Linked DNA regions of Canis lupus familiaris. The protein of the gene in region 1 interacts with the protein of each later gene in a pairwise test. Links are inferred from orthologs where the notes say so. Each region holds a gene or a part of one and is shown on either strand. Other genes may lie near its edges.

Region 1 (5,035 bases):
GTTGGCTATGTGGCCCTGGGCTGCCCACTCTCAGACCCTCTCATCTGGAATGGTGACAGTTGGCCTGCCTCTCGGGGCCCTGGAGAGCCAGAGTTGGCATGGAGGCTCCTGATCTCAGAGTTGGGGTCATGGGGTCACCAGTGCCCATGTCACCTGCGGGAATGGGGTGTCGAACATGTGGCCTCCTGTCTCTGTCCTCACAACCAGCACCCGGGAACCTGTCTTGCACACGCACCTCCTGATGGCTTGGTCACCAGGGATTGAGATCCCGTTGCAGGGACTGTGCTTCCCCCACAGGTAGAGACCCCACTGTGGAGGCCTCTCCTAGGCCAATGTCCCTCCCTGACACGTGTCAGTGTGCAATGTCCTGCTCATCTAATAGCTTATCCTTTTCTTGTCTGCCTTACAGTAGAGGGCAGGAGGGGGAGCAGGTGGCCTCGGGCCACACTGCTTACTGTGAGGGCAAGACCTTTGTTTTGTTCTGTATCTAGGGCCTAAAACACCTTGCACATGGCAGGTACTCAGTTGAGTATACCAACAGGTATACCAGTTGAGTGAATGATCCTGTCCTACCCCCTGAATAGAGTGGGGGGCAAGAGGAAAAGGGCGTCTCTTGTGCTCCTGGTGCCAGCTGGGGGCATTTCATAGGCGGTCTTATTTCTACCTTGCAATAGCCTTGGACGTTGGCTATGCCTGCTTTATAGAGGGTGAGGAGTCCGAGAGGTTGAGTTACCTGCCCCAGGTCATGCAGCAGAAGGTGGTTGGTGTAGGATTTGAGTTCAGATCTCACTGACTGGCTGCTTCCTCTTCCTGCTGCCCAAGCACTCCACTGGGAGAGTGACTCCAGGCTCCTGACTGTGGTCTCTCTTTTATTTGTCCCCCAAGAACTTTGAGGTGGAGGCCGATGACCTGGTGACCATCTCAGAGCTGGGCCGAGGAGCCTACGGGGTGGTAGAGAAGGTGCGACATGCCCAGAGTGGCACCATCATGGCTGTGAAGGTAAGCAGGGCCCCACCCCATCCCTGCCCCAGCCAGCCAGGGAGCTCCAGGCCACGGGATACCTGGGAGGGGAGGCTTTATGGAGGAAGCATGAGGGGCCGAGCTGGTGGTACTGCTTGTGGGAACCCGTTGGAGCTCCTAGTCTTCCTATAGGGGATGGTGAGGTGGTTACCCTCTGCCTCATGGCCCCTAAACTGTGACCCTGTCTCCCGCAGCGGATCCGGGCCACCGTGAACTCACAGGAGCAGAAGCGTCTGCTCATGGACTTGGACATCAACATGCGGACGGTCGACTGCTTCTATACTGTCACCTTCTATGGGGCCCTCTTCAGAGAGGTGCGGCCCTGGTGGGAGGGTGGGAGGTGGGTGCTGGGCTGCAGGCTGGGGGCTCAGGCTGCCCCATCCCACCTTCCTTCTGTACACCTGCCCCACTCTGGCTACCCTACAATCTGTTGTTGCTCATGCTGGGCCCCCCACAGATGCTTGCTCAGCACCCCTGTCCCCTGTGTGCCAGGTACTAGGCACAGCAGTGGGTGAGATGGTGCATGCAGAGTTTTTGGGAGCTCAGGCAGTCTGGCTCTCCTGCTTCCTGCCTTAGTTTCCTTGTCTGTGAAATGAGCAGTAATTATATCCACCTCACAAAGATGCATGAAGATAAAATGATGTGACCTAGGGCCTGGCATTCCCTCTGCCTCTGGCACCACCTGCTTGCTTCACTAGCATCCAGGCTGGCAGCATGGGCTTCCGAGCAAGGGCACCAAGGAGGTGTGCGCAGGTCCAGTTCTTGGTCTGTGGGAAGGATGGGTTGTGGGATGAGAGAGAGGTCAAGGGTGATGCCAGGGAGTGTGGCTAGTTGCAGTGGAAGGACGGGCTCCTGCTGGCTGCTCCCTGAGCATCCACCCGTCCCCAAGCATGCTTGGTGCTGTGGATCCAGTGGTGGGTCAGCGCCTCATTGTCCACTAGTCTGGTTGGCTAAGCACCTGCTGTGGGCCAGGTGCAGGCTGCTCCTCTTGCTGATGGGAAGAGACGCACACCTGGGCCTCTCTGTGTGCTGGGTCAGAGTTGCAAGGGAGGCATGTGGGCCACATAATCCCTAAGTCCCCCAGGGAGAGGCCATACCCAGCCTTCTCAAAACACTGTCCTGGAAGATAGGTAGGAGTTTGTGGGGGAGCTGGGAGTTGGGGAGGCCGGGCTCTGCAGAAGAAGAAGGGAGCAGTCTATCAAGGCCAGAGCGAGGATGACCCCATGTGTGTTTGGGGCCACAGTGGTTGAGGTTAGGAGCATCTGCAGGGCTGGGTCATGGCCCCAAGCTGCAGCCGGGCCTGAGAGCCCGCTTTCGGAGGGACGCAATTAGGCGTGTGTTTTAGTCATTTCTTTCTAGAAACTACCATGGAATTAGGGATTAGGTGCAGGAGACCAGAGGCAACAGAGCTGGGTAAGGCTGGCAGGTGTACTGCCCACTAGTATACATAAGCATGGAAGGTGGAGAAAAAAGTAGAAAATTTTGGGGTGCAGAGTAGGAGGTAAACCTCCCAACTCGGTAAATCTCTGTGGGCTGAAGTAGAGGGGCCTGACCATTGCTGAGAGCCAGGCATGTGTGGACTCAGCACCAAGACAGGCTGTCCAGACACCGGTGTACAGCCTCGGGCTGACACAGGCTGACCTCCAGGTGTCCTTCCACAGGGAGATGTGTGGATCTGCATGGAGCTCATGGACACATCCCTGGACAAGTTCTACCGGAAGGTGCTCGATAAAAACATGACCATTCCAGAGGACATCCTGGGGGAAATTGCTGTGTCTGTAAGTGGCCTTGGGCTTGGGAGGGGTTGGGGGTTCCAGGTATGTAGCCAGGGGCCCCAGCCCTACCCCAGCAAGTGCAAAGCCCAAACTAAGGTGATAGCTTGGGCAGAGCTGGATCCCTAGTAGGGCCCTGCGCCTGGGCAACTGCCCTGCAGGGAGCCAGCTCTCCCACCCTGCATAGAACTTTCTTGCTGAGGAGACCCCAGATCCTGGGGCTACCAGAGCCACACCGATTTGGCAGATCTCAGGTCTCTAGCTTTTGTGTGCAACTCCTGAGCTGTCTACACTATTTTTTACAAAATGACTTAGTATTTACAACTTCCTCCTGCCAAAAATGCCCTGAGGCAGTTCATAGAGACGCAAGCTATGCTGGGAGGAAGCTTAGCATCCACACTGTTTGCCTTTTGAGGTAAGATGTTTCTAGAGCAGGGTAATAACACTGGGCTTGAGCATCCTGGTAGCCGAAAGGAAAAAGGAAATGCTTCTCAGTCCTGACTACATCTGGGAACTTTTAAAACATGCCATACCAGAGTACTGAGTCATGATCTTTGGGGTACTTCTCCGGGTACATCATTTCCCTGTAAAGGCTTGGACCTGAGACCCTAACCTGTCGGGTGGGTGGGAGAAAAGTGGGAGGCTGGGTGTGTCTGCACTGAGGTGGCCATACACCAGGGTGAAGGTTGGGATGTGGGCAAGAGCCCGGCAAGCTGCGGGGTGGGTGTGTATGGGTGAGAGGGAGACAGATGGGCACGGCTAGGGGGTCTCACAGCTCTGTCGTGCTTGATGCAACTAGGAATAATAGCCTTGTCTTTTCTCCTCTTGCTCTGAACGCCAGATCGTGAGGGCTCTGGAGCACCTGCACAGCAAGCTGTCGGTGATCCATAGAGGTCAGTGCCCCACTGCGGACTGTGTGGGAGGGGCCTGCAGGCTGCAAGGAGGGTGCAACCTCAGGTGATAAGTAGTGAGTGGTGTGCCCACTAGGGTCATGAGTTGAGCCTGCTTCCCAGTCCAGGCCACTGTCACTTCTGCCAGCTGTTGTCTTTAGGTCCCTCGGTGGTTTGCTGGTACTAGGAGCAATGATGGGGCTTTCATCCTGGGAACGCTGACTGAATTTGTTTTGACATATTGTTTATGTATCATGAAACACACAGATCCGTAGCTAGCATTTGATGAATCTGTTCAGAGTTTACACCCACATAACCCTGGCCACTTTCAAGACTCAAGATGTCCCACCTTCTACCCCACCCCAGAAAGTTCTCCGTGCTTCTTTTGGTCAGACCCTGCCCCTATGTCCCCTCTCCACATCTTGTCTGGTGTTTCCCACAGCAAATCGGTTTTACTTATACTTGAACTTCGCATAAATAGACATGGCCTCTCTCCGGCCTCTTTCCCTTGGCCTAATGTTTCTGAGGCTCACGCGGGTTGTGTGTGTGGTAGATCCTTCCCTTTCACTCTGAGTGGTTCACTCACCCAGGCATATTGCTTTTCACCAAGTGCATTAGACCGAGCCGGCTTTGACTGCTCTGCGGCCACCCCAGCCCCTGCCCCCAGGTCACCACTGTTGGCAGGTCAGCATGGAACCTGCTGGTCCTTTTCCTGTGCATTTCTGTCCTTATGCCCATGCCCTGTAGGAAGGGATGGAGGTTGCTCGTGTGTTATATATGCTTTTGCTGGAAGAGTCCCTGCTGTATGCCCTGTAGCCTGCTCTGCATGGACCTCGAGTTGTAGCCTGGGCTCTGTGTTTCCACAGACCCCTCCGTGTCCCGTGCTTTTGCTGCTGCCCTGTGCCTCCTGGCCGAAATGCCCAGCCTCTCAGCCTGGACACTGGGGGGCTTCCGGGTCTGCAGCCTGTCAGTGGTGCCGTCCCCCAGCAGATCCCCAGCACAGGAGGACCCCGGGGCTAGAGGTTCCACCAGGAAACAGGCAGAGTCCTGGCTGCACAGCCGGGATGAGCCTCCCCCTCTGGACCTTGTGTCCAAAGTGCTGACAAGGCACAAAGATGGGGTCCAGGTAGAAGCTCATGTCCATCCCCACTTGTGGCCAGTGGCCAGGGCGTGTTCTTGCTGTTCTGCTCCCATCTTTGCTTCCTGGGACTGGGAGAGCACCTGGTAGAACCTCATGTCTCCTCTACCCCCCTGCCCTGGTATCATGTGCCCCTGCAGTGGTTGTGGCATCGAGGAGCCTGTTGGCCTCCTGCAACGCCCCACAACCCCTGAAGGCACAGAAGATGTGTTCTA
Region 2 (5,678 bases), on another chromosome or scaffold:
TTTTGCAAATGGCAAGATTTCAATTTTTTTTGTAATATTCCATTGTATACCATATCTTTATTTATCTATTGATGGACACTTGAGTTGCTTCCATACCTTGGCTGTTATAAATAATGCTGTAGTAAACATAGAGGTGCATATATGTCTTAGAATTAGTGTAACTTCAATTTTGAATGATAAACCAAATAACAAGTTTCTGGGCATTTTTCCTTATGTACTACATATATGCTGTGAAGTGATTCATATTATGTACATCATGGTGTCCACTGTCGGCAAATTCAAGGCTAATATTGCCTTTTCATGTTATATCCCAGGATTCTTTGTGGTGTTTGATCATGGATTTTGCTAATGGCTTGTTATACTTTCTCCAAGCAAAACACTTGTTAACTTTGTAGCTAGTTGTATCACTGAAACAAAATGACTTTTGCCATTTTTTAACCAGGGATGTAACTTGATCTTTTTTATCCACAAACTCATCCATTTCATAATGGAAAACATTATTTTGCATTCATTCTGGAAAAATACATTTTATAACGTAATGAGGTTATTGTAATTGGTTCAAAAATGACTTGTAAGTTTTGATGGCTTTTGGAGTCAGGGTTTGACAATACTTGTAGTGGGCAATGGACAAAAGGATTGTTGGTCCAATAAAATCCAATTTTTAGATAATCATAGTTGTGGTTTTTTTTAAAAAAAGATTTTATTTATTTGAGATAGAGCGAGGGAGAGAGAGAGAGAGAGAGAGCGAGCGCGCCTGAGTAGGGGGAAAGGCAGAAGGAGAAGGAGAAGCAGGCTGAGCCGACTCAGGGCTTGATCACAAGATTCCCAGGATCATGATCTGCGTTGAAAGCAGACGCTAAACTGGCTGAGCTACTCAAGAGCCCCATAGGTATTCATGATTATACTTTGTATTTACATTTTTATTTATTCATCGCTGCTTGGGTGAACTTATCACATGTAAAGGCACAAAACTCGAGTCCATATCTAAACTGCAGTCTTGTTTAATAGCTACCTTTACTACATAATTTTTTTTTCATAATTTTGAATTGAAATTCTGTACTTGTTAGTTTTTTCATCATTACTTCTTATGTGTCAATGTACTTCTTTAGAGTGGATGCTTTTTCTCTTTTGATGAATTGGAAATACAACACAATAAAATAACAAAGAAAAAATAATTTTAACAATGTAAATAATAATATACAAATTATGTTAAAATACCTCAGCGGAGATAAACTACTGATAAGGAGAGAAATGGATCAATGTAATCTTGTATTACATATGTAATCTATAAGAATGCAGATATACTCAAGAGCATAATGAAATTTGTTAAAATTCGAATTAAATTGATATTAAACAATAGGTGAAAGATAAGTAAGGTGGTAGTATATTGTAGTGCTAAAATATGTTCCTAGAGTCAGACTTCTTCAGTTTGCCTTGCACATCATTACTTACTAGCTGGTTATCACTTGCTTAATCTCTTTGCTTCTCTTTCCCTATCTGCAAGATGGAATTAATAATACAATCTACATCACAGTGTTGTGAGAACTAAATGAGTAAACACACAGAGCAGTTTGGATAGTGTCTGGCACGAATGCTTAGTGCTTCCTATTATTAAAAAAATCTGTTCAGTCCTCATCTTATTACTTCCCTACAAAAACCCATCATTATGTCCCTATTATTGACCAATGGAAGTCATCCCACTCTTAATCAGAATACCTTCTTTATACAACGCCTTTTGTTTTGGCTGTCGGTACCTCTCTCACCAGACCTTAAGCGCCCAGATTGTTTTACACGACCAGTTCCATACCAGGCACTCAAAAATTATTGAGTCTTTTTTTTCACCAGGGACAAAGGTCCTTAATGGAGGAAAAAAATTCTAGAAAGGATTACAAATCACTGTGTAAAGTTTAAGCATTAGAGCCACTAAAGAGGGTTTACGAAACAAATCGTCTGCACAGTTTTCAGCCAGGAAAATCCACCACCTAGGGCAGCCCCGGTGGCGCAGCGGTTTGGCGCTGCCTGCAGCCTGGGGTGTGATCCTGGCGGCCCAGGATCGAGTCCCGCGTCCGGCTCCCTGCATGGAGCCTGCTTCTCCCTCTGTCTCTGCCTCTCTCTGTGTCTATAAGTAAATAAGATCTTAAAAAAAAATCTACCACCTAGCTAAGCTTTTGAGTAAAAATGTTTTTCGCCTACGTCACTCGATCACTGACCTCTGACGCACAGGAGGCGGGATTAGAGAGAGACAGCTGGACTTCTTTTTTGCCCGCCCTCCTCCAATGGACTGGCGGGCACATTGGCCAGCCCTGCCTTTTGCATTCTCATTGGTCAGTTGCCCCGAGGAGGCGGGCTCTGAGGGAATGACTCCATCCACTCTTTGGGCGGGGTCCGTCCTCCGGAGGCTGGGGCCTGTCGGGGCGGGGTGTGTGTTACCGCAGCCGCCATCTTTGATTCCGCGGTAGCGGTGGCGGCTGTAGGGAGCCGCGTCTGGGGAGTGGCTCTCCCCTCCCCCTCCCCCCCGGTTCGGTGGCGGCGGCTCCTCCCACTCGGGGGGTGGCGCGACGGCATTGGCATCTACGGCCATGGCGGCGGCTGCTGCTAACCCCGGTAAGTAGACGGAGGACTGGGGCGCCTCTAAAAGGAGGAGGGGCTGAAAGGGTTGGCTGCTGAGGAGACCCAGGGCTGAGCGGCGGTAGTTGGGGCTGAGGGCGCTAAGACTAGCGGAGGTGGCCGACGGGTGGGGGAGGGGAATGGCGGGGGGAGGGGCCGGCCCTAGGGATCTGGGGAGACCAGAGGTGGAGGGAGGGAGTTCGTTGGGGCGAGTTCTGTCGGAGCGGTTCCCTTGGTTGGGCTTGGCCTGCCTCCACTGTCCTGGCGGCATTCTGCTGTGTGATGTGGTCCTTGAGCTCTGCCCACTTGAGCTGCTTGATGCACAATAACTGGGAAAATTGTCTCCTTTTACTTTAAAAGTGATTTAGATTTATCAACACTGGACCGCATTGCTGTTTAGCTGAGGTGTTGAACTTCCAAACGTTTAGACGTTTACATTTTTAATTTAAATTAAAAAATGTCTGGATATATACCCAGTTTCTCTAGGCTTAACATTCCCCCCCCCCCCCCCCCGGCTATCCTTTGAAACTGGCGTTTTTGTATTAAGTGCCTCCCAGTGTCTTCAGCTGCTGAGGACAAAAGTTTGAGTAATGTTTGGTGCTCAGGGCAGATGTTGCCAACAGCTAGCATTCAGAACCTGAACTTTAAATCTTGTTGGGTGTAGATGGAGGCAGTTCCCATTCTTTTTTTTTTTTTTTTTTAAGATTCTATTTATTCGTGAGAGACACCGAGAGAGAGGCAGAGACACAAACAGAGGGAGTACCAGGCTCCCCGCGGGGAACCCTATGTGGAACTCGGTCCCAGGACACCGGGATCACGACCTGAGCTAAAGACAGACGCTCAACCACTGAGCCACCCAGGTGCCCAAGCAGTTCCCATTCTTTAAGAAAAATTCGGTTCCATGTCATTTTTCAGTGAGCATCTCTTCAAAAGGGGGAGCGAGAATATTAAAAAAATCTAGGCAGTCATGTTTAAGCGATGGAGTGGGGTGTATTGCTGCAGGTCTAGACAGATCAGGTCTCCAAATTCCCAGTCCCAGATCGTTCCACTATGTTACAGTTATTTCTTCCTTGGAAGTATTTCGTTTTAGGGATCCTGGTTTACCTTGCAGACCTTGGCCATTCTCTTGTGAAATAAAAATTCTTTTCCGGAAATCTCTATCTTTGATAACCTTAAAAAAGAAGCCAGAAGTTCGGGGTGAATTACTTGAAAATACTGCGGTGAAAGGGATTCACAGTGAAAGGGTGTTCCCACGTTGAAACTGAAGTTGACTTTTTTCCGTGTATCTCAACTGATTATTATTTTGTGGTACCCAGGTTTTGGTATAGCAGTTAAATCACTATGAAGTTTACTGTCTTTACTACCATGTTTCTGGGAACAGAGCTATTTAAAGAAGTTAATTTGTCACATATCAATATCATATTGTAAAATATTTTAATTTTTTTTAGAGGAAAAGTAGATGAAATTAATGGCTAAAACTCTATTGGAAGAAGTGCTGATGATGGAATAAAATTGGAAAGATGCTATTATTATGGCAAACCTGGCCTTGTAGTAAAGTAACCCATGTGTTAAAACTAAGGAGTAAATAAATAGGGTTTTAAACTGATAACACATTGCAAAATAGTTACATAATCCTAGTCAAGTTGCAAAGCTTTTCTCTTGTTAAGATGTGGCCTGGGTAAACAAGTTTAGTGCATATGTCGGAAGCTTTTTTTCAGCAGTGTGGGTGGGGCTGCTTTATTTCATTTTATTTTTTTTCAACAACAGTGACCAGAATGTCAGCTTCTTGACCACATTTCATTAGCTGATTCATATCAGCTTAAATCTGAAGCAGAAAATGGTATTTATTTGTGTACAATCCTTGCTAGTGAAGCATATGATTTTATTCTATGACAGCCTGCTTCTGCAATTTTTAGATTTCCTTTTTGATGTTGAAAATTCTCACTTCTCTTCCAAATTATTGATACAACAACATTCAACACCTGGTAATTAGAAAATGTATTTTCTTCCATCATTTCTTCTTTTGCTCCTCTATATTCAAAAGGAAGCAATCATAGGTGTATTGTGGTCTTTAATAGCCTTGTTGAGTTTTGGGAAATGTGGACTACAAATAAAGGGACACAGGATGGAAATGTATTGCGCTCAGTGAAAAGAAGTAAATAAGGGATCCCTAGGTGGCTTGGTGGTTTCGCCCCTGCCTTCAGCCCCGGCCGTGATCCTGGAGTCCCGAGATCGAGTTCCGCATTGGGCTCCCTGCATGGAGCCTGCTTCTCCCTCTGCCTGTGTCTCTGCCTGTCTCTTTCTGTGTGTCTCTCATGAATAAATTTTTAAAAAATCTTTAAAAAAAGTAAATATTTTTGGAGCATCTGAATGGTGCAGTTGGTTGTCTCAGACTCTTGCTCCGGTCATAATCTCAGGGTCCTGGGATCAAACCCTGAGCAGGCTCTGACCTCAGGGGAGAGTCTGCTTGAGATTCTCCCTCTCTCTATGGCTCCCCGCATCTGAGCACGTGCTCTTTCTCTGAAATAAATAAATCTAAAAAAAAAAAGGAAGGTAAATGGTTTTCAGGTCAGAATTCTTTGTTTCATGGTCAAACATTTCCTTAGATCCATTTTAGGGACTAGAGACATCATACTTATTTCTTTGAGTTTTTTCTACTTTATCTTTTTGCTGGTTAAGATTCCCTGATATGTTAAGAGTTACATTGAAATAATAAGTCTAATGTGATAATGGCCTTTTCTCTGCATAAATTGATAATCCCCATGTTCTGTTATTTTTCACTAATTCTTCTTACCATTGGCAAATAATAGTGGGTGGGTAAGTGGTCCATGAAGTATTAGGCTGTCTTTTTTGTTATGAAACACTAACAGTTTTGAGGAATACTTTTTAGATTACATGCATGATTTGTAATGCATTGGCTAAGGCATGGATTGGGAAGAGATTAGGTATTTGACTTCCAACTCCATATTCAAAGCAGAAATAAGAATGAATTTGTAGGAGTATAGGTATGTCCTCCTCCCTTGATTCTGGTATTCTTATCTCACCTCTTTTTGTGCTAATAAGTACCACTT
Region 3 (5,831 bases), on another chromosome or scaffold:
GCGCCACCCCCCACCGGTGCGCTATCCCGGGAGTCAGCATCCCAGTCCTTTAAACCTTCTGGAATGTCACACATGGAAACCTTTAGCAAATGTTTGTTAATGATCATAACAAAGGCATCATTCAAATTAGGCAGGTAATTACTACCAGAAGGACAACTGGGTGCGCGCTTGCTCATCCATTCTCCATGCTTCCAAGTCGAGAGGAGTTACGACCCGAAGACACCCCCCTCCAGTCCCCCCAGCCCAGCCCAGCCTGCTTTTCAGGCCCCTTTAAGCATCTCTGAAATGAACTGTGAAGTTACCATTTGTGGGCGGGGAGCCCAGTGTTCAGGAGACCCCGGCGCGACTGGGCTGGCAGTTTCCCAGAGCAAAGCAGGCCTTCCTGGGTAGGCTTTCTACCTTGCCTCCTCGTCTTTGGGGTATTTGATATAAAAACTCAGATCTCAGCTTGTCTTTATTAATAGCATGAAAGCCAGCCCCCGCCTTTTCCTATTATTCCGCACGCTGAATTTTTTTTTTTTTTTTTTTTTTTGGTGGGGGGAGAGGGAGGTGCCGCGCGGGCCGGTTCATTATCTACAAGCATTACGGTATCCTGTTAGCATTCCGAACAAGAGGCTGTTCATATATTTGCCTTCAATGATTTCCTGAAGGAACATGTGGAAGTAATAGTGAGCAGTGCAGTCACCCGGACTGAAGATGCACGAGAGGCGGGCGCGCAGAAGAGCTGGGGTGGGGGGTGGGGTGGGGATGGGGCCCCTGGCCCAGCCCCGGGCGTCTTCCCGAGCCGGACACCCCAGGAGCCCATCCCGGGGCGGCACAGGACCCCACACTTTTCTGTGTGACCCTCCCCTGCCGGCTGCTCCTTGTCCCCCCTGCTGATGCGGGAGGAGCTGACGGCTGTCCGACGTTCCAGGCTCAACCTGGACGCCCTGGCCATTCCGAGAGTGCGGAGGTGGAGAGGGGGTGGGGATCAAAAATGACCCCTTCCACCCCACCGGAGAAGGCGCTCCCCTCCCCCTCCGTCCCTCGCACGCCCCACTCGGCCTCCTAGCCCGGTTCCTGGAGCGTCAGCGCCCCCTTTCCTCCGCGAGCGGAATCGCGCCCTCCCGGTACCGTGTCTCGCCTCGCGCCGTGGGGTGGGGGGGGGGCGGGCAGAGGATTTGGGGTTCAGCTCAAGCCCTAGGGCGTCGGTAAGCTGCGTGCTCTGTGGCGGGGGGCGGGAGGGGGGTGCGCGGAGGTGCACCTTCCCCGGGACGCCGAGGTGGCCAGGTTGGCCGCAGACGATTCCTCCCAACGCCCAACCCTGAGCCTTATTTCGTGTGCAGGATAGAAGCCAGGGCAACCTCGCCCGGGTCCCCCCGCCCCACCCCATCCCCCCAAAACAAAGACGCGACAAGATAAGTGGCTCCGAGGGAGTAAAGGTCGTTCTGTCGGGGAACGTTCCAAACCTACGCAGACCCTCGAGTCTTTGCACCTTCTTTCAAACCCGTTTACAAAGCAACACAAAACAAAACCGAAAACAAAGACCATCATCTTCCCACTGGACCCAACAGTTTGCCTGATACCATTAAAAGAGTCAGCGACTACCCGGCACTTTCCCTTAAAAGACCCCCAAGTTGTAAAGACGCAACCGCTTGGGGACCTCTCCGGACAGGCCCCCCAACTAACTAGCAGTTTCTACGGAAGGGACATTTCTCGATTCCAGATGTACACTCCTCCCGGGCATTAACTGCAACTTCGCGAGTTGTGTTTCTTTCCAAGAGCATGCAGAGCAATAGGGCAGCGTAGGAGACTATGCCCCTACATCAGGAGGCCGACTCCTTCTGGAAGTGATGGGCAGTTGGTATTTTCACGGACCTCTTTCCCGGCAGAGCATCAACACCTCCCCCCTTCCACCACCCCCACCCCATCTGGTCTGCTTCTCCCCGCCCCCCCCCCCCAGTTGTTGTCGAAGTCTGGGGGTTGGGGCCGGACCCCCTGATTGCGTAAGAGCGAAGAGCGAAGGCGCAATCTGGATGCGTGGAGGCTCAGAGCGCACGGAGTTCGGGAGAAACTTTTATTTTGAAGAGGCCAAGGAGGGGGGCGCTTCATTTCCTGACAGCTATTTACTTAGAGCAAATGATTAGTTTTAGAAGGATGGACTATAACATTGAATCAATTACAAAACGCGGTTTTTGAGCGCATTACAGTTGGAGCTAGAGAGAGAAAAACAGAGAAGGGGACTACAGGAGAGAGGACTGGAAGCCGTGGACACTTTTTGCTCCCTATGTAGGATTTTCATTACGAATTGACATAGGAGGAGAAGGTAAGAAAGGAGAAAAAAATAATGATTTTTTTTGTTTCTAAGAGAAGTCCTTGATCAGGCCCCTTTGGGCTGGAAGTGAAGGAACTTCACTCAAACTTTGGGCGATGAGGAAAAAAAAAAAAAAGGAGTGGAATTCCAGCTGTGTGTCCAGAGAGTCATTTATTTTGAATAAACTTCACTTGGAGGAAAGATAACCATAGAGTTAGAAAGTCTAGGGATTAAAAAAAAGAAAAAAAGAAAAGAAAAGAAAAAGCACACATTTTCCAGGCCTATTTTTAAAAGCAGTGTTTTTCTAACAAGTCCATAGCCTCCCGAAGAAATTTGTTTTAGGCTTACATTTTTGAGGTTTCTTTTTGGGGCTGGGGGGGGGGTGGTATTCGTGTATACCGGGACGGGCACCAAGTAATGCTGGGAGTGGGGGCAGAGGTGTTTGCCCTCTTCTTGGCAGTAGGTCCTGGAAGGCGACAGGTTTTTAATGAGTATTTTCATTCCTCGCCCGCGGTTTGGCGGGACAGCGCTGCAGCCGGCGGTGTGGAGCGCGGCGGGGGCCCTGGGTGGGGGGTGGGGTGGGGGGAGCGGGGCGCCGAGTGGGGCGCGCGCCGGGCGGCGAGGAGGGGAGGCGTGAAGGGCTCGGCTGGAGCGGGGCCGGACCTGGGGTGCCAGCCGGGGGCGCTTGGCGCCGGCCGAGGGCGCGTAATTACTGGACGGCGCAGCGCCGGGTGCGAGCCGGGGCCAGACACAGCACCGCGGCGGCGGCTGCGAGGCGCGCGGAGGGGGCGCGGGCGTGGGCGAGGGGTGGGGGGGGGACACCCCGGCGGGGTGCGTGCCGGATCCGCGGGGCGGGAGCGCGAGCGGGCGCCGGTCCCGCAGCGCGCGGGGGTCGTGCGCCCCTGTGCGGGGGCGCGGGCGCGGGCGGCGGGCGGGCGGTCTGGAGTAATGACAAACACATTTGGCCCCGAGTGAAGGAGTCGTCGTCGCCTCGCATTCCAGCGAGTGGGATTTGAGGAATTTCGAACCGCGCTCCGAGGGGCCCTCATTGTGCGCTGGGGTCCCCACCTCCACTCCTCTCCGCGCGCGCCCCCTTTCCTCGGTGGAATCGTTTTGGTTTTTTGCTTTTTTTTTTTTTTTTTCTTACACCCCCGCCCTCCCCTTTGCAAAGTCCGGGACTCCTCTGCTGCCCGGTCCCGGCCACAGGAAGGAAAGAAGGAAGATCGCCAGAAAAGTGTAGAACTTCTCTTGGGGGAAGTTAGGGACGCCTCGGAACGGAGAAACTGGGTCCCTAGGTAAGAGGAAGATGGTAGGCGAACCGTGCTCCCCACCTCCCGCCGGGCACCTGAGCCCAGGTCCGCACCCCCCCCCGCTCGCGTGTCCCTTTCCTCGCGGGGATGCGTGGCACTCGCCGCCCGCGCTCGCCCTGCGCTGCTGGGGCCGCAGTGCCCGGGTCTGCCCCACTCTCTGCGCCGGCCTCCTGGGCGGCTTGGGGGGGGGTCCCCTCCTCGCGCCCCTCCCTCCTTCTCCGACCATCCGCGTGGAAATCGGCTTTTGCTCGTGAGATTAACTTCTCCGGGGTGGGGGGACCGGCGGCGTCCACTTGGCTCGGAAGCAACTGGGCTCAGCGGTCCTGGTCGGAAAGGGTCGCAGCCGGCTGGGAGCCAGAGGGACCCGAGGACGGCCGCCCTAGGGGCCGGGGGCCGGGGGCCGGGGGCAGGGGCCGGGCCGCCGGGCCAGGTGTGCGGGAGCTGCAGCGTCCTGGCCAAGCCCTCGGAGCGGGAGAGGCGCTGGCTGCCTGTGGGTTGGCCGCGCGCCCTTCCAGCGGCCGGAGCGCCGGTCCCTCTCCCCGCTTCCCTAACCCTGCGAAGACCTCGGGCTTGCAGAGCGGGCGCCTGGGAGGGCCGGCCGCTCCCTCCACCTCCCAGGGTGAGGCCGACCCGCGCCGAGCGGGAGCCTGGATGGCCTTTAGCGGGTCCGGACTGCCCCGAGCCCGGCCCAGCTGCCTGGAAAAGCCCCGGGCTGCGCCCTGTGGGAAATGGCTTTTTGGCTCCGCAGCCGAATTGCTCAACGTTTTGGAGCGACTCGTCTCGCCGCAGTCGCTCCCGAGCAGAACTAAGGCAGCTTTTTTAGGGCCGGGGACATCCGGGGCACACGGGCACGACAGCCAGGCGCAGGGCTCCCGGGACCCACACCCCCGAGCGCGGCGCGCGTCCGGGCTGCTGGAGGGAGGGACAGGCGCTGCCGGCTGGCGCGCCTCGCCCGCACCCCTGGTGGCTCTGGTTTTAACACCCCCCACCCCTTTCCCTGCGTCTGACCCGCTCCCACTCGGACCCTGGCGCCTGTGCTTCGCATCCCTTCCCAGTTTTCCTTTCCTCCTTCCACTCTCCGCCTGCCTCGCTCCCCGCCAGGCGAGGGCCCGTCCTTTCTCGCCTTGACACCCCGCGCTGTCCCTGCTCCGAGGCTCCCACACAGTCTGGTTTTTGGTTCGACCCAAGCGTAGCTCGAGTGAGTCCCCACAGCGGGGATGGGGGTGGGGGCGGGAGGCAGAAGGAGGAGGTCGGGGTGGGCGTAGGGGGGGAGGCTCCGGGAAGGAGAGGGTGGGTGACCCTCGGCCCTCGCACCAGCCCTTAGGGGGACCGAGAGGGACCCAAAGCAGAACCCCGGCTCCCGGCCCCAGGGCTGCTTTCTTCCCGGGACGCGGACTGGGGAGGGGTGCAGGGGGAGGAGCATCGGGCCAGGCTTTCCAGCTGCAAACGCGTCTGGCGCCGAGGCGGGCCCGTCCTGTGCCTCCTGGGGACCGGCCGTGGGCGGCGCGCAGCGCCTGGACGCGTCCTGCGGACGTGGTGGCCAGCGCCTTCCTGCACACCCCGCAGGGTGGGACGCCCTCTGGCCTGCGGGGAGCTGCGACCGGGTTGCATGTTGCCGATGGACGAGCGGCACTTCTGGGGGGGGAGCCAAAGCCTGCTCGGGGACCGAAAGGTGCGGCTCTCCGCGTCCCTGGAGTGTGGCCGGCGGGGCCCCCGCGCAGCACCAGCCGTCGGGGTGCGGGGGGGAGGCCCCGCGCGGTTCGCGGGCTGCGGCCAAGTGGCTGGTCCCCCCTGCGCTCCGGCCCGGGCTTTGCCGGTCCACGCCGCTGGCCGAAGCGGCTCTGCGGCGTTTCCTTTTGTTTTAACCTGAAGAGGGAACCCGGAATCGGCTGGGAAAAGAGATTGGGGTAGCTCAAGGGGACCTCGGGTTTGGGGCGCTCCCCGCCCAGCCAGCTGCAGCCCTCCCGTGCCCCGAGACACGCAGGCGAGGGGCGCGAGGGTGCGCCGGACGGCGGGGCGCAGAAGGGAGCCCCCGGCAGCGGGGGGGGGGTCGCAGCCTGCGCGCCCCGGGCCTTCCCCCGCCTCCGTGCCGCTTGCGCGCCCGTAGGAGGCGCTGGCGCGCGCCTGTAACCCTAAACCCCCGGGCCCGCGTCCCTCCGCCCGGCCCGGCCCCCTCCCGGGTCTCCGCCGAAAACAATGCAAACGCGCAGCGCCGTGCCCGGGGCGCC
Region 4 (5,554 bases), on another chromosome or scaffold:
GAAATCTGTGCTCTGAATCACTTCACTTCTTGCTTCTTTCTCCATGCTCATAGGACAAAGGCATCTAAGAAGAACCTAGCAGGTCCAGAATGCTTCTCTGAAGAAGTGAGCTGACCATCAAGAATCAGATGGAACCAACCAGTCCTAAAGGGGAAAGATCATTCCAGGAAGAGGGAACCATGTGTGTAAAGGCCAAGAGGGTAGAATGGGAGCAAGGAAGAATGAAGGACTTGTCTGGAGATGTGGACAGGGGCCAGGTCATGCCAAGAATCATTATGGGAAGCTAGTAGAAAGTTTTAAAGGAGTAGTAGATACATTCAGATTTGTATTTCCTTTTTTTCTTTTTTTAAGATTTTATTTTTGGGGGATCCCTGGGTGGCGCAGCGGTTTGCCACCTGCCTTTGGCCCAGGAGACCTGGGATCGAATCCCATATCAGGCTCCCGGTGCATGGAGTCTGCTTCTCCCTCTGTCTATGTCTCTGCCTCTCTCTCTCTCTGTGACTATCATAAATAAATAAAAATTTAACAACAAAAAAAAAAGATTTTATTTTTAAGGGGCGCCTGGGTGGCTCAGTTGGTTAAGTGTCTGACTTGGCTTAGGTCATGATCTCAGTGCCTGGGATCCATCCGAGTATTGCTCCCTGCTCAGTGAGAAGTCTACTTGTTCCTCTCCTTTTGCCCTTCCCCCCTCAAATAAATAAAATGTTTAAAATTTTTATTTTATATTTTTATTTTTATTTAATTTTATTTTATTTTATATTTTTTAAAGATTTTATTTATTTGAAACAGCACAGGGAGAAAGGTCAGAGGGAGAGGGAGAAACAGACTCCCCGCTAAGCAGGGAGCCCATCTTTGGGCTCTATCCCAGGACCTTCGGATCACACCTGAGCTGAAGGCAGACGCTTAACCAATTGAGCCACCCAGGCGCCCCAAAAGATTTTTTTAAGAGTTTATTTATTTGTTCATGAGAGACACAGAGAGAGGCAGAGCCAGGCAGAGGGAGAAGCAGGCTCCATGCAGGGAGCCCGATGTGGGACTCAATCCCGGGTCTCCAGGATCACGCCCTGGGCAGAACGCAGGCGCTAAACCGCTGAGCCACCCAGTGATTCCCCAAAAGATTTTATTTTTAAGTAATCTCTACACCCAACGTGGGGTTCAAACTCACAACCCCCGGATCAAAAGTCGCATGCCCTACTGACTGAGCCACTCCACTGACTGAACCAGCCAGCCAGGCGCCTCCAGATTTCAAATATCACTCTAAGTTTGTGCAGAGAATGGATGGGAGTGGGTGGGAGCAGACGGGGGTCTCCTAGCCACTGTTTGGTGATTGCACAGAAAACAAGAGTAGCCAGGTTGGGCCAGAGTCTGTAGGGGCTAGCGGGTCAGGACTGCTGGGTGTTACCCTCTAAAAGGGGTGAAGAGCAGAGGTTGGCGCAAAGAACCAGAACCTGGAAGCCTGGTCTAGGTGTGGCAAAGGAGGCGGAGTCTGATGGGGTGTGTAGCAGGCTGAGGTAGGACCCCGGGATCACGCTGGCCCAGTTGGCCATTAGGCTTTGTTGGGTTTGGGGACTGGTCTCCAGGGGGCCGGACGCCGCGTCCCCGTCGTCTCGATAGAGCGGGTCCGGAGGGGCCGGAGATGGGCGGGCGCCGGGTGGTCCTCCCCCAGCCGCGGTCGGGATGGAGCTGGTCCAGGAGGGGCGGGGCCCGGGGTGGGCGGGGCCTGGGCCTCCCGCGGCCACGCCGCTGTCGCGGGTGCATTCCTGACTCTGGCCCCGGGCGGAGGAGCGCCCCGGCTGAGTCTGCGGTCCCCGCTGGGCGCGGGTGTCGCGACTAGCCGGAGCCGGGAGCGGGGCCGAGGAGGGCCCAGGTGAGCTGGGACCCTGTGTCTGGAGCGGGACCACGGAGGCTCGAGGTGAGCGGGACCCCTTGCGGGCTCGGGCTGCGCTCCCCGCCGCCAGAGGGCGAGCGGCAGCGGGGCTCGCGGAGCTGCCCCCTCCTGGCACTGGGGACCTGGGCGTCCTCTAGGAAGGGGGGTGGAGGAGAGGGTAAATCAGTAACCCGCAGCGCACACAGGGCCTTTTGTCCCGCTCCGTCCAAAGAGCACCCTGGCCGTGGAGCTGGTTACTCATTGCCCACCGGGGCGGGGGCGGGGGCGGGGCGGCTGTCCCTGCAGCTCCCCCTCCGGACCTGCCGACTCGCACCTCCCCCCAGGGTGGCCGGGTAAGGGTGGAGAAAGAAGAGCGCGCTGGTCCCTCGGCTGCCAGGCCGTCTGCGTTCCCCGAGTAGAGATGAGGAAGCTGAGGATCCGAGAGGTGCAGTCATTTGCCCAGGGCCCCCCTGCGCTCCTCCCTCCAGCCGGAGGAGAACCCAGGACTGTCTGATTGTGTGTAGATCCTTCAGCCCCTGAGTAAGGCGGTGGGTTGGTCTGTCAGAGGCCACGTGTGATCCGACTAAGGGTTACAAGGTCCGAGCAGCCTGGGTATAGGAATAAAATCCCCAGGTCTCCCTGACCCTCTCCCAGCTCGAGGTGTAGACCCAGAGGGCTGCTTCCCCTGCAGCAGAGCAAGGTGAGGTGATTCTATGGAGGAGGGCCATGGAAACTGGGGGTGGGTGCAGGAACAGTGGCATCTAAGTCAGGTGGAGAGGAGAAATGGGGACACAGAGGTGTGTCTGCGCAAGAGAGAAGACATGCCCAGTTTTGAAAGCCAATGGCTTCAGTGCTGAAGATGCTGAAGGAGCAGACTGTACAACCGAAGATACCCACAAGAGTAGGGAGGGAGGCCTAGAATGCTGGATGAACTATAGATTGGATCCTGCAGGACATGGGTAGCCATTAAGGGCTTAAAAGCTGGGGGATATGGGGTGGTGACATGGCAGATTCTTGTGATTTCTAAAGCCCTGCAAGAGAGCAGAGCCTGGAGTGCCAAGGGAGACATTTGCAAAGGCCCAAGCCAGAGATGACTATGGCCTGCCCTGGGTCCAAGCAAGGGAGGTGGGATGGACTGGAGAAGGATTGAGGAGGCAGATGGACTGGAAGTGGAGGGAAGGGGGAAGGGGGATGGGAAGAGATGATGCCCCAGCTGCAGGGGCAACCCAGGGAAGGAGCAGGGTTGTTTGGTTTTTTGTTAAGATTTATTTTATTCATGAAAGACACAGAGAGAGAGAGAGAGAGAGAGAGAGACATAGGCAGAGGGCGAAGCAGGATGCTTGCAGAGAGCCCGATGCAGGACTCGATCCCAGATCCCGGGATCAGACCCTGAGCTGAAGGCAGACGCTCAACCGCTAAGCCACCCAGCATCCCGGGAAGGAGCAGTTTGAAGGGGTAGATGACAGCTTTGGTCAGGACAGGTGAAGTGCTCCCTGCCTCAGAACCAGAGCTGGAAATGGGGCAGTGACTGAAGAGAAAGGGTGCAGTGGGCTTCCTGGGCAAGGTAGATTCAGAGACACCAGTGTCTCCTGACTGTTAATGAGTTCCAGGTAATAGCCAGTGGTCCCCTGGGACTACATTGGTCACCTCTTCCCCTGCCCCAGCTGAGACTGTTTTGAGTGTTCCTTCTGGGGGATGGGGAGACATCTTTGGTGTCAGAAGAATAGGGTGGGTGTGTGATACCTGACAAGAACTGCACCAGAATTGGAGGTAATTGGCCAAAGGTAGACCTGGGGTGACAGTCATGGAGAGGGAAGGGAAGAACGTTCCAACATTCTGTGTTCCCAGCCCCTACATATGGTCTCTTTTATCCTCAAAGCAGTCCTTTAAAGATAGCATCCAGAGAGGAACAGGAACTTGCAAGTTGGTAAGAGTCCGGATTTGAACTTGGCTTTGTCAGACATAGAGCCCAAGTCACCTCAAATGGAGTTGTGAGGACACAAAAAACAGATGCATTCCCAAGCGTGCAATTCTGGTTCAGAATGAGGAAGAACTTCTCTTGCCATGGAATGTGCTGCTTTGTTAGTAGTGAGTGCGCTGTCACTGAAGGTATTCAAAGCTGGTCAGGAAAATGTCAGCAATGCTATAAGAAGTGTGGGTCAGATCAGATAACATCCAGATGCTAAAGTTTGGCCTTGTATTATATTTCTTTTTTTCCTTTTTTGAGGGGTGGAGTTCTTCAGCAATAAATTCATTTATTCAGCAAAAAATAAATTACGTGTGCTGAGAGTGAGCAGAAGATATGTCTCCTTTTTCTGCTTTCCTCCAAGGAAAGAATCCCCAAACTGCCCTTTCTGTGAACCTGTGCCAGAGTCTCAGCAGGACTGGAGGAGAGCAGGAAGCCCAGCCCTGCCCCCTGAAGAAGCTTTGGGCTCTGGCCACAGCTTTTAGTCTCTGCCTTGCTGCTGCGTGATGGCGGGGAGGGCAAGGCTTGGACAAGTCCTGGCCACTTCCTGTCTCAGTTTCTTCATCCACAAAATAGGAGAATGGCAATGCGAAATGTGCAGATCTATCAGAAGTTCTCCCTCCCTTTCAGGAAGGCAGTTGGTGGTAAGCCCAGCCTGGGTCCTTGTGATCAGCAGGAAGGACATGTGGCTGCTGTTGGCCCTGTTGGGGGTCCTGGTGGAGGTGCCTGGGGCTCCAGCTTTGTCCCTTGAAGCCTCTGAGGAAATAGAACTAGGTATGGCCTTTAAGGTGGTAGAGGGTGGGCTCGGTGGGCACATGGAGGGAGCTACTAGCTGAGCAAAGCTGGAAAGGATCCTGGCCCAGTCCCTGAGGAGGTGACAGCAGGGCAGGGCCCAACCATTGAGACTCAGTGTCTGGCTCCCAGCAAGCGTCCACCTATCTCTATGTCCACAAGAGAGGAATGGCCTTGCAGGGTGAAGGGTCCTGAGCTGGGCTGCAGAGCTGGTGGTGAGCCCCTGGCTGTGTGTGTGTGTGTGTGTGTGTGTGTGTGTGTGTTCTGTGCACTGGGTATATGGTTTGGGAGGCCCAGGAAGCATGTGTGGTATATGTACTGAGTATGCTGTGCCCTGGAGGTGTGGCATGTGCCCTGTGTGTAGCACCTATAGCATGTGTTTGTGTGTGTGTGTGTGTGTGTGTGTGGCAATGGCATGTCCAATCTAGCATGTGTACTACGCACTGTGTGTGTGATGTGCACCAGAGGCATGGCGATTGCCTTACGTATTGCATCTGTGTAGCATATAATTATGCGTGTATATTTGAGGAGCAGCAGGTGTCCAGCATGTGTCAAGGGGTACTTGTGCCCTGCCCATGCAGCATGTTCTCCATACACAGGGGGCTCACTCATCTGGGGCTTGTGGGGCTCACTGACCTCTGCCCTTGGCCCACAGAGCCCTGCCTGGCCCCCAGCCCAGAGCAGCAAGAACAGGAGCTGACCGTGGCCCTTGGGCAGGCTGTGCGGCTATGCTGTGGGCGAGCTGAACGTGGTGGCCACTGGTACAAGGAAGGCAGTCGCCTACCACCTGCTGGCCGGGTACGAGGCTGGAGGGGCCGCTTGGAGATCGCCAGCTTCCTACCGGAGGATGCTGGCTGCTACCTCTGCCTGGCACGAGGCTCCATGCTTGTCCTGCACAATGTTACCTTGGTTGTGGATGGTAAGGGGGG
Region 5 (5,787 bases), on another chromosome or scaffold:
GGCCGTGGCAGCCCTCCCGAGGAGGAGTCTCAGGAGAGCACCCCCATTCAGGTAGGCTGAGGGTCCCTGGAGGTGCCAGTGGGTATAACACGCTCTCTCAAGGCCTGAGCAGGCAGGGGGTGGCCCAGCTAGAGCACCATGTGCCCCTGCCACCCAGGAGCTGCAGAAGCAAGCAGAGCTGATGGAGTTTGAGATCGCATTGAAGGCCCTCTCAGTGCTGCGCTACATCACAGACTGTGTGGACAGGTGGGCAGTCCTGCAAGGCCCAAGACCTGCAGTGGAGGACTGGGATCCTGGGCCTGTAGCCGCCGCTCACTTCTCTCCACCACCACCCCTAGCCTTTCCTTGAGCACCTTGAACTGCATGCTCAGTACCCACAACTTGCCCTGCCTCCTGGTGGAACTGCTGGAACACAGTCCCTGGAGCCGACAGGAAGGTGGTAAGGTCTTCCCCACCCCCTTGCCTAAGCCCCAGCTCATGGCTTCCCAGACATACCCCAGGATTGATGGGGACAGGCAGCTTGCTCACAAACTGCCCGCTAGCTCATAGAGGAGCCCAGAATGCCTCACACAAACTAGCTTAGACCTGGGCTTTGCAGCAGGTAAGGCCTGTGTGTCCACTGCTAAAGACTCACCCCGCTCTGGAGCAAGCAGACACCAGCCTTGGTGAGTCGTGCACCCGGGCAGCACTCAGGACCCCAGCCCATTCAGTTGGCTGACTCAGAGTGTGTAACACCTGCTCCTAGTGTTCTGGCTCCTCTCTCCAGGCAAGATGCAGCAATTTGAGGGTGGCCGTTGGCAGACAGTGGCCCCCACAGAGCACCCAAAATTGAGCAAGTTGGATGGGCAGGTGTGGATCGCCCTATACAACCTGCTGCTAAGCCCCGAAGCCCGGACCCGCTACTGCGTCACCAGCTTTGCCAAGGGACAGCTACTCAAGGTGGGGGAGCTCCTCCTGCACCAGTGCCACCCCATCCCACCCTGCCCTGCCCCACCCCTGCTGCTTATCACTGCCCACCTGCCTCAGCCCCAGTCCTCTTTCCAGACCCTGAAGCTCAGGTGTCGCAGCAGCTAGTGGGACGTGGTCCCCACAGGCACCCCAGCCCAGGCCCTCCCTGGTCAGCACCACTTCACACTGGCCTTCCCTGGACTCCCTTGCAGCTTCGGGCCTTCCTCACAGACACACTGCTCGACCAGCTGCCCAACCTGGCAGACCTGCAGGGTTTCCTGGCCCACCTGGCCCTGACGGAAACCCAGCCCCCAAAGAAGGACTTGGTGTTGGAACAGGTAGGTACCAGGAAGTCAGCTGCTCAGGACTACTGCCCACCTTGCCAGCTCCTCCCTGACACTTTCCACTTTTCTCTCTCAGATCCCAGAAATCTGGGAGCGGCTAGAAAGAGAGAACAGAGGCAAGTGGCAGGCTATTGCCAAGCACCAGCTGAGGCACATATTCAGCCCTTCAGAGCAGGACCTGCGACTACAGGCACGAAGGTGAGGCCCACTGAGTGGGCAGAAGGGATAGGAGGGATGCAGAAGGCATGGACACAGGCAGAGGTGCTCTTGTGCCCCCACTGGCCAGGCACAGCCAGCCTTTCCTGACCTCTTTCTTAGATGGGCTGAGACCTACAGCCTGGACGTCCTAGAGGCAGTAACCCCAGAGCGGCCCCGCTGTGCCTACTGCAGTGCAGATGCCTCCAAACGGTGCTCACGGTGCCAGAATGAATGGTATTGCTGCAGGTGAGGGTATCCTAGGAACTTGGACCCCTAAGCCCCACTTCTATACCCCGCACAAGCACTGCATGCTTACCAGCCCACCTGCCTGCAGGGAGTGCCAAGTCAAGCATTGGAAGAAGCATGGAAAGGCTTGTGTCCTGGCAGCCCAAGGTAACAGAGCCAAGTGAAAGCTGCAGCTGCTGAGGGCCAAGCACCCATGCCCTACAACCCACCCCCAGTGTGCCCTTGAACCTCTCGAAACCTCAGCCAGGGCTCCAGCCTCCCAGGTGGTGAGCAGAGCGAGCGCCGCGAGGTAGTGAGCACAGCGAGCCCAGCAAGCTGCTGACCCATCTTCCCCAGTAAAGGCTGCTCGCTTCCTGCCCTACCCTGCGGGTAGGCTGAGGGTGCTGCCTCAGCAGCTGGAGCGGGAGGCCTGGGCGAGGCAAGACAAGGGCCGGATGTGGGGACCCTGTGCCTCTAGCACAGTAAAGCTAGTCTCTAGAAACAGCCTGTCTCCGAGTGGCCCTTCTTGGTGGTCGTCGTCTTGGGACGGGGGGCGGGGGTGGGGTGCACCCGGATGCAGGAAGAAAAGGAAAGGGAGCGCCGGGACTCTGCGAGATCGCCCCCCGCCCCTACTCCGCCTGCGGGCCGACACAGCCCGGGCACCCGGGTTTGCACTGCGCCGCTCGCCCTGGTTCTCTCGCCGCCCAGCCTAGATCCCGGGGGCGGCGCCGCCTCGCGGCCCGCCCCGCGGCCCCGCCCGCCCCGCGCTCGCTCGCGCCCAAAGCCGGCGGGAGTCCGGGCCCGACCCGGCCATGTCCACCGAACCCGAGCTCATTGAACTGAGGGAACTGGAGCCCGCGCGGCGCGGAGGTCCGGGCCGCAGCCGGCTGGAGCGAGCGAACGCGCTGCGCATCGCACCGGGGACCGCGCGCAATCCGGCACGGCAGCTGGTCGCGGGCCGCGGCCACCACTTCCAACCTGCGGGGCCCGCCACGCACACGTGGTGCGACCTCTGCGGCGACTTCATCTGGGGCGTCGTGCGCAAGGGCCTGCAGTGCGCGCGTGAGTAGCAGCCCCGCGCGCTGGGAGAGCGAAATGCGCGGCCAAGGGGCAGTGCCGTCGCTGCGTGTCAAGTCGCAAAGGAGGGGGTCGGTCGGCAGGGTCGGTTCCTAACTGGCAGTGGGCCAGGTCCACTGCCTTTGCTCCATCGTGTAAGAAAGTGCAGGCAGACAGATGGTTTATAGCCTTGTTCTATACCACCTGCATTGGGCGCACATTTATGCAGAGGCGGATGCCTGTGAATAACTATGAACAAGGTGCTGATTTCAAGCTTTTTATCTTTTAAGTGCCTTGGCTCTTCTTGAGAAGTCTGTATTTCGACCAATCTCTAAGTCCATGTTCCCAAGCCTGCTCTTTCCCAAAGATTCACTCACTGCCCCACCCCCCCAGAATCTCTGGGAGGAGGGGGAATTTACCCACCTATGGAGGCAAGCAGGGAAAAAGTACCTTGGGTGGGTCTTCTACAAGCAAGAATTTAATTGAGCAAATACCTATTGCAGGCCCAGCCAACCAGGTGCTAAAACACAAAACATCACACACCAGCAGTCTTTCTGCCAGCAAGCAGAGGCTGCTGTCCCCCTGGCTATACACCAGCTAGAATTGGTTGGGATTTTACAGCCCTCCAAACCCCTATGCCTGGACTTCAGACCTGTTGAATCCATCACTAGGAATGTATCAGCAATTTACAAAAAAAAAAAAAAAAAAAATCATTTCAGTAGGCAGCCTGGAATTGAGAGCAATTGAGAATCACTCCTCTGGCCCATTTAGGGATTTAGAGAAGGTATCCTAGGCCTATGTAGGTGTAGAGACCCTCTCATCCAGTACAAGAGTCTGTCCTGAACACCAGAGCTGTGACAGAAAACCAAGCATGAGCAAGGGCTGAGACATTGCAGTGATCCCATGGAGAAATAAAGTGACATAGGGATGAAATACAGGACAATGTGTCAGAAGCAAAGAGAAGAGAGGGATCAAGGGTGATTTGGGATTTTTGCCTCAAACAGGGACAGTAGTGATTTTTGCTAAGATGAGAAGCTCTGGGGAGAGGAGAGGGGAGGTGAAAGAAAAGTTGGTTTTGGTCACATTGGGTTGACACAGGCTTTGATCTGAGGAGGGAGGTTAGGGATGGAAGACTTGGATCTGGGGTTGTACACAGAGCAGGGCAATGGCAGTGATCAGGATTGAGTCTCAAACACTCTTGCCCATTAGATCTGGGAGTTGAGGCAGAACCAAAGAAGCTGAGCAGGAGCTGCAGGGCATGGGAGGAAAACCGGGGCAATGGGGGGCCCTGGAAGCCAAGGGGAGCAAGCATCAAACGATGCTGGGGGGCATGGTGAGGATGCAGAAGGGATCTGGCATTGGAACGTGCACAGGTTGCTAAGGACCCTAACCATTATCCTGGAGGGAGGATCAAGCCTGACTGGAATGGGTAAAGGAGAGAGTGAAGATGAGGAATTACACTGTGTATGCAGATAAATGATATGTTTTGGTGTGAGGGATGTAGACAGATGACAGCTAAAGGGGTTAAAGGGTTAAAGATTTGGGGGGTTTGCCCTTCAAGTAAATGCTGGGGGCGGGGGGGGGGGGGCGCTTGACAGTGCGGAAGGGGGATCTCCGTGCTAGAGATCCAGCTATTCAACCGGCCTGGATCCCTAACCGCCTGAGGCCTTCCCGCCAGTTTCCAGACGTCGGGAGACCAACACTAGAATCTGCATAGCAGCGGCAGGGTACCCGGGCCGTAAGACAAGGCGGGTCATGCAAAGCCTGGCGGGCAACCGCCTTCGTCCCGGGGTTTCTCTGCCGTCCCCGGGATGCTTCTCTGAACTGGAGCCGGGGCTCCGCCTCACGGCCAGGCCTCTCTGCAGATTGCAAGTTCACATGCCACTACCGTTGCCGCGCGCTTGTCTGCCTGGACTGCTGCGGGCCCCGGGACCTGGGCTGGGAACCTGCGCTGGAGCGGGACACGAACGTGGTGAGCGCGGGGCAAGGGGTGGCGTACGGAAAAGGTGCGCAGACCAGCCGGCCACACGGCAGGAGTTGCTTAGGGCCGCCCGGTTACGCGCAATGCGCGTTCGAACAGCGGGTTTTCCCGCGGCCGAGAGCGGCTGGAAGGGGTACCAGGGATGCTGACTCCGCGCGGATTGCCCGGAATAGCCGAGGCTCCACGCCCGCGCAATTTCCGCACCTTCCCGCATCCGCATCCGGTCGTGCAGCCACGCTGGTGTACATGCGCAGACGCGCCGACTTGTTCCCCAAAAGAGGTGTGGTCTGCGAGGCGGAGCCGAGCTGGGCTGCCTGGGCTATGAGGTCACTCCTGGAGGCGGGGCGTGTGTGAACCCGCCCCTCGAAGTCCCCCCCCCAATGAGAAGGGAGCCAGATCGTGGCTGTCTACGTCTCGGCGTTAACGGTTGCGGCGCGAACCCTGATCCCAGCGCACGCGCACACGCGTCTCGGGCGGTGGTTGGAGGCCACGGGCGCACGGGGCTCGAGGAGCTGGCGGGCGGGCGCGGCGATGGGCGAGGTGGACGCGGGGACGCCTTCTTTCGAGATGACCTGGAGCAGCACGACGAGCAGTGGCTACTGCAGCCAGGAGGATTCGGACTCGGAGCTGGAGCAGTACTTCACCGCGCGTACCTCACTGGCGCGCAGGCCGCGTCGGGACCAGGTGGGGGCCGGGGTTTTGGGCGGCGGGCCGGTGATGATCGCCAGGCCCCTGCGCCTTTCCGCTGAGTTGCCGGCTCGAGTCGGTGCGCAGTCCCTCTCTCCCATCAGTGGGGATTCCATACCGGCCCGGGGCCCGCCCGCGGAACCGTGTGCCGGGCTCTCGCGCCTCGGTGCCGGGCGCCGAGGCCTTGTCGTCTCTGTCACAGACCGGTTGAACCAGGGGAAGCAGCTACGTGGCTTGGGGTAGACCCGGGACGGGCATGATCCACCTATGACTAAAGCCGACTGCGCAGTCTGGACGAGCACCTCGGTTTCTGCGTTCGGACGCTCCCACTGCCTCTGGGGGACGGGG

The links.
Region 2: the proteins of MAP2K3 (region 1) and ARNT come close enough for resonance energy transfer, tested with the Homo sapiens proteins (2 studies listed by BioGRID). The link is inferred for Canis lupus familiaris from reciprocal best matches to the Homo sapiens genes MAP2K3 and ARNT.
Region 3: the proteins of MAP2K3 (region 1) and PDGFRA come close enough for resonance energy transfer, tested with the Homo sapiens proteins (2 studies listed by BioGRID). The link is inferred for Canis lupus familiaris from reciprocal best matches to the Homo sapiens genes MAP2K3 and PDGFRA.
Region 4: the proteins of MAP2K3 (region 1) and FGFR4 come close enough for resonance energy transfer, tested with the Homo sapiens proteins (2 studies listed by BioGRID). The link is inferred for Canis lupus familiaris from reciprocal best matches to the Homo sapiens genes MAP2K3 and FGFR4.
Region 5: the proteins of MAP2K3 (region 1) and RASSF1 come close enough for resonance energy transfer, tested with the Homo sapiens proteins (2 studies listed by BioGRID). The link is inferred for Canis lupus familiaris from reciprocal best matches to the Homo sapiens genes MAP2K3 and RASSF1.

The regions. Positions count from the first base shown.
Region 1 is NC_049226.1:42,962,543-42,967,577, forward strand, and holds part of MAP2K3 (dual specificity mitogen-activated protein kinase kinase 3), read left to right. Parts: intron 1-885; coding exon 886-999; intron 1,000-1,214; coding exon 1,215-1,334; intron 1,335-2,681; coding exon 2,682-2,798; intron 2,799-3,633; coding exon 3,634-3,685; intron 3,686-5,035. UniProt on the Homo sapiens protein: Dual specificity kinase. Is activated by cytokines and environmental stress in vivo. Catalyzes the concomitant phosphorylation of a threonine and a tyrosine residue in the MAP kinase p38.
Region 2 is NC_049238.1:60,666,105-60,671,782, reverse strand, and holds the start of ARNT (aryl hydrocarbon receptor nuclear translocator), read left to right. Parts: upstream 1-2,418; 5' UTR 2,419-2,579; coding exon 2,580-2,604; intron 2,605-3,443; exon of another isoform or gene 3,444-3,467; intron 3,468-5,678. UniProt on the Homo sapiens protein: Required for activity of the AHR. Upon ligand binding, AHR translocates into the nucleus, where it heterodimerizes with ARNT and induces transcription by binding to xenobiotic response elements (XRE).
Region 3 is NC_049234.1:47,416,152-47,421,982, forward strand, and holds the start of PDGFRA (platelet-derived growth factor receptor alpha), read left to right. Parts: upstream 1-2,041; 5' UTR 2,042-2,305; intron 2,306-3,310; exon of another isoform or gene 3,311-3,588; intron 3,589-5,253; exon of another isoform or gene 5,254-5,275; intron 5,276-5,831. UniProt on the Homo sapiens protein: Tyrosine-protein kinase that acts as a cell-surface receptor for PDGFA, PDGFB and PDGFC and plays an essential role in the regulation of embryonic development, cell proliferation, survival and chemotaxis.
Region 4 is NC_049225.1:37,137,385-37,142,938, reverse strand, and holds the start of FGFR4 (fibroblast growth factor receptor 4), read left to right. Parts: upstream 1-1,728; 5' UTR 1,729-1,912; intron 1,913-2,181; exon of another isoform or gene 2,182-2,312; intron 2,313-2,434; exon of another isoform or gene 2,435-2,567; intron 2,568-4,463; exon of another isoform or gene 4,464-4,467; 5' UTR 4,468-4,516; coding exon 4,517-4,607; intron 4,608-5,280; coding exon 5,281-5,544; intron 5,545-5,554. UniProt on the Homo sapiens protein: Tyrosine-protein kinase that acts as a cell-surface receptor for fibroblast growth factors and plays a role in the regulation of cell proliferation, differentiation and migration, and in regulation of lipid metabolism, bile acid biosynthesis, glucose uptake, vitamin D metabolism and phosphate homeostasis.
Region 5 is NC_049241.1:39,419,751-39,425,537, forward strand, and holds the start of RASSF1 (ras association domain-containing protein 1), read left to right. Parts: upstream 1-2,512; 5' UTR 2,513-2,527; coding exon 2,528-2,777; intron 2,778-4,636; coding exon 4,637-4,743; intron 4,744-5,124; exon of another isoform or gene 5,125-5,283; coding exon of another isoform or gene 5,284-5,436; intron 5,437-5,787. Other genes in the region: ZMYND10 (zinc finger MYND domain-containing protein 10), read left to right, coding at 1-51, 158-246, 339-439, 767-939, 1,161-1,286, 1,369-1,490, 1,611-1,736, 1,825-1,900. UniProt on the Homo sapiens protein: Potential tumor suppressor. Required for death receptor-dependent apoptosis. Mediates activation of STK3/MST2 and STK4/MST1 during Fas-induced apoptosis by preventing their dephosphorylation.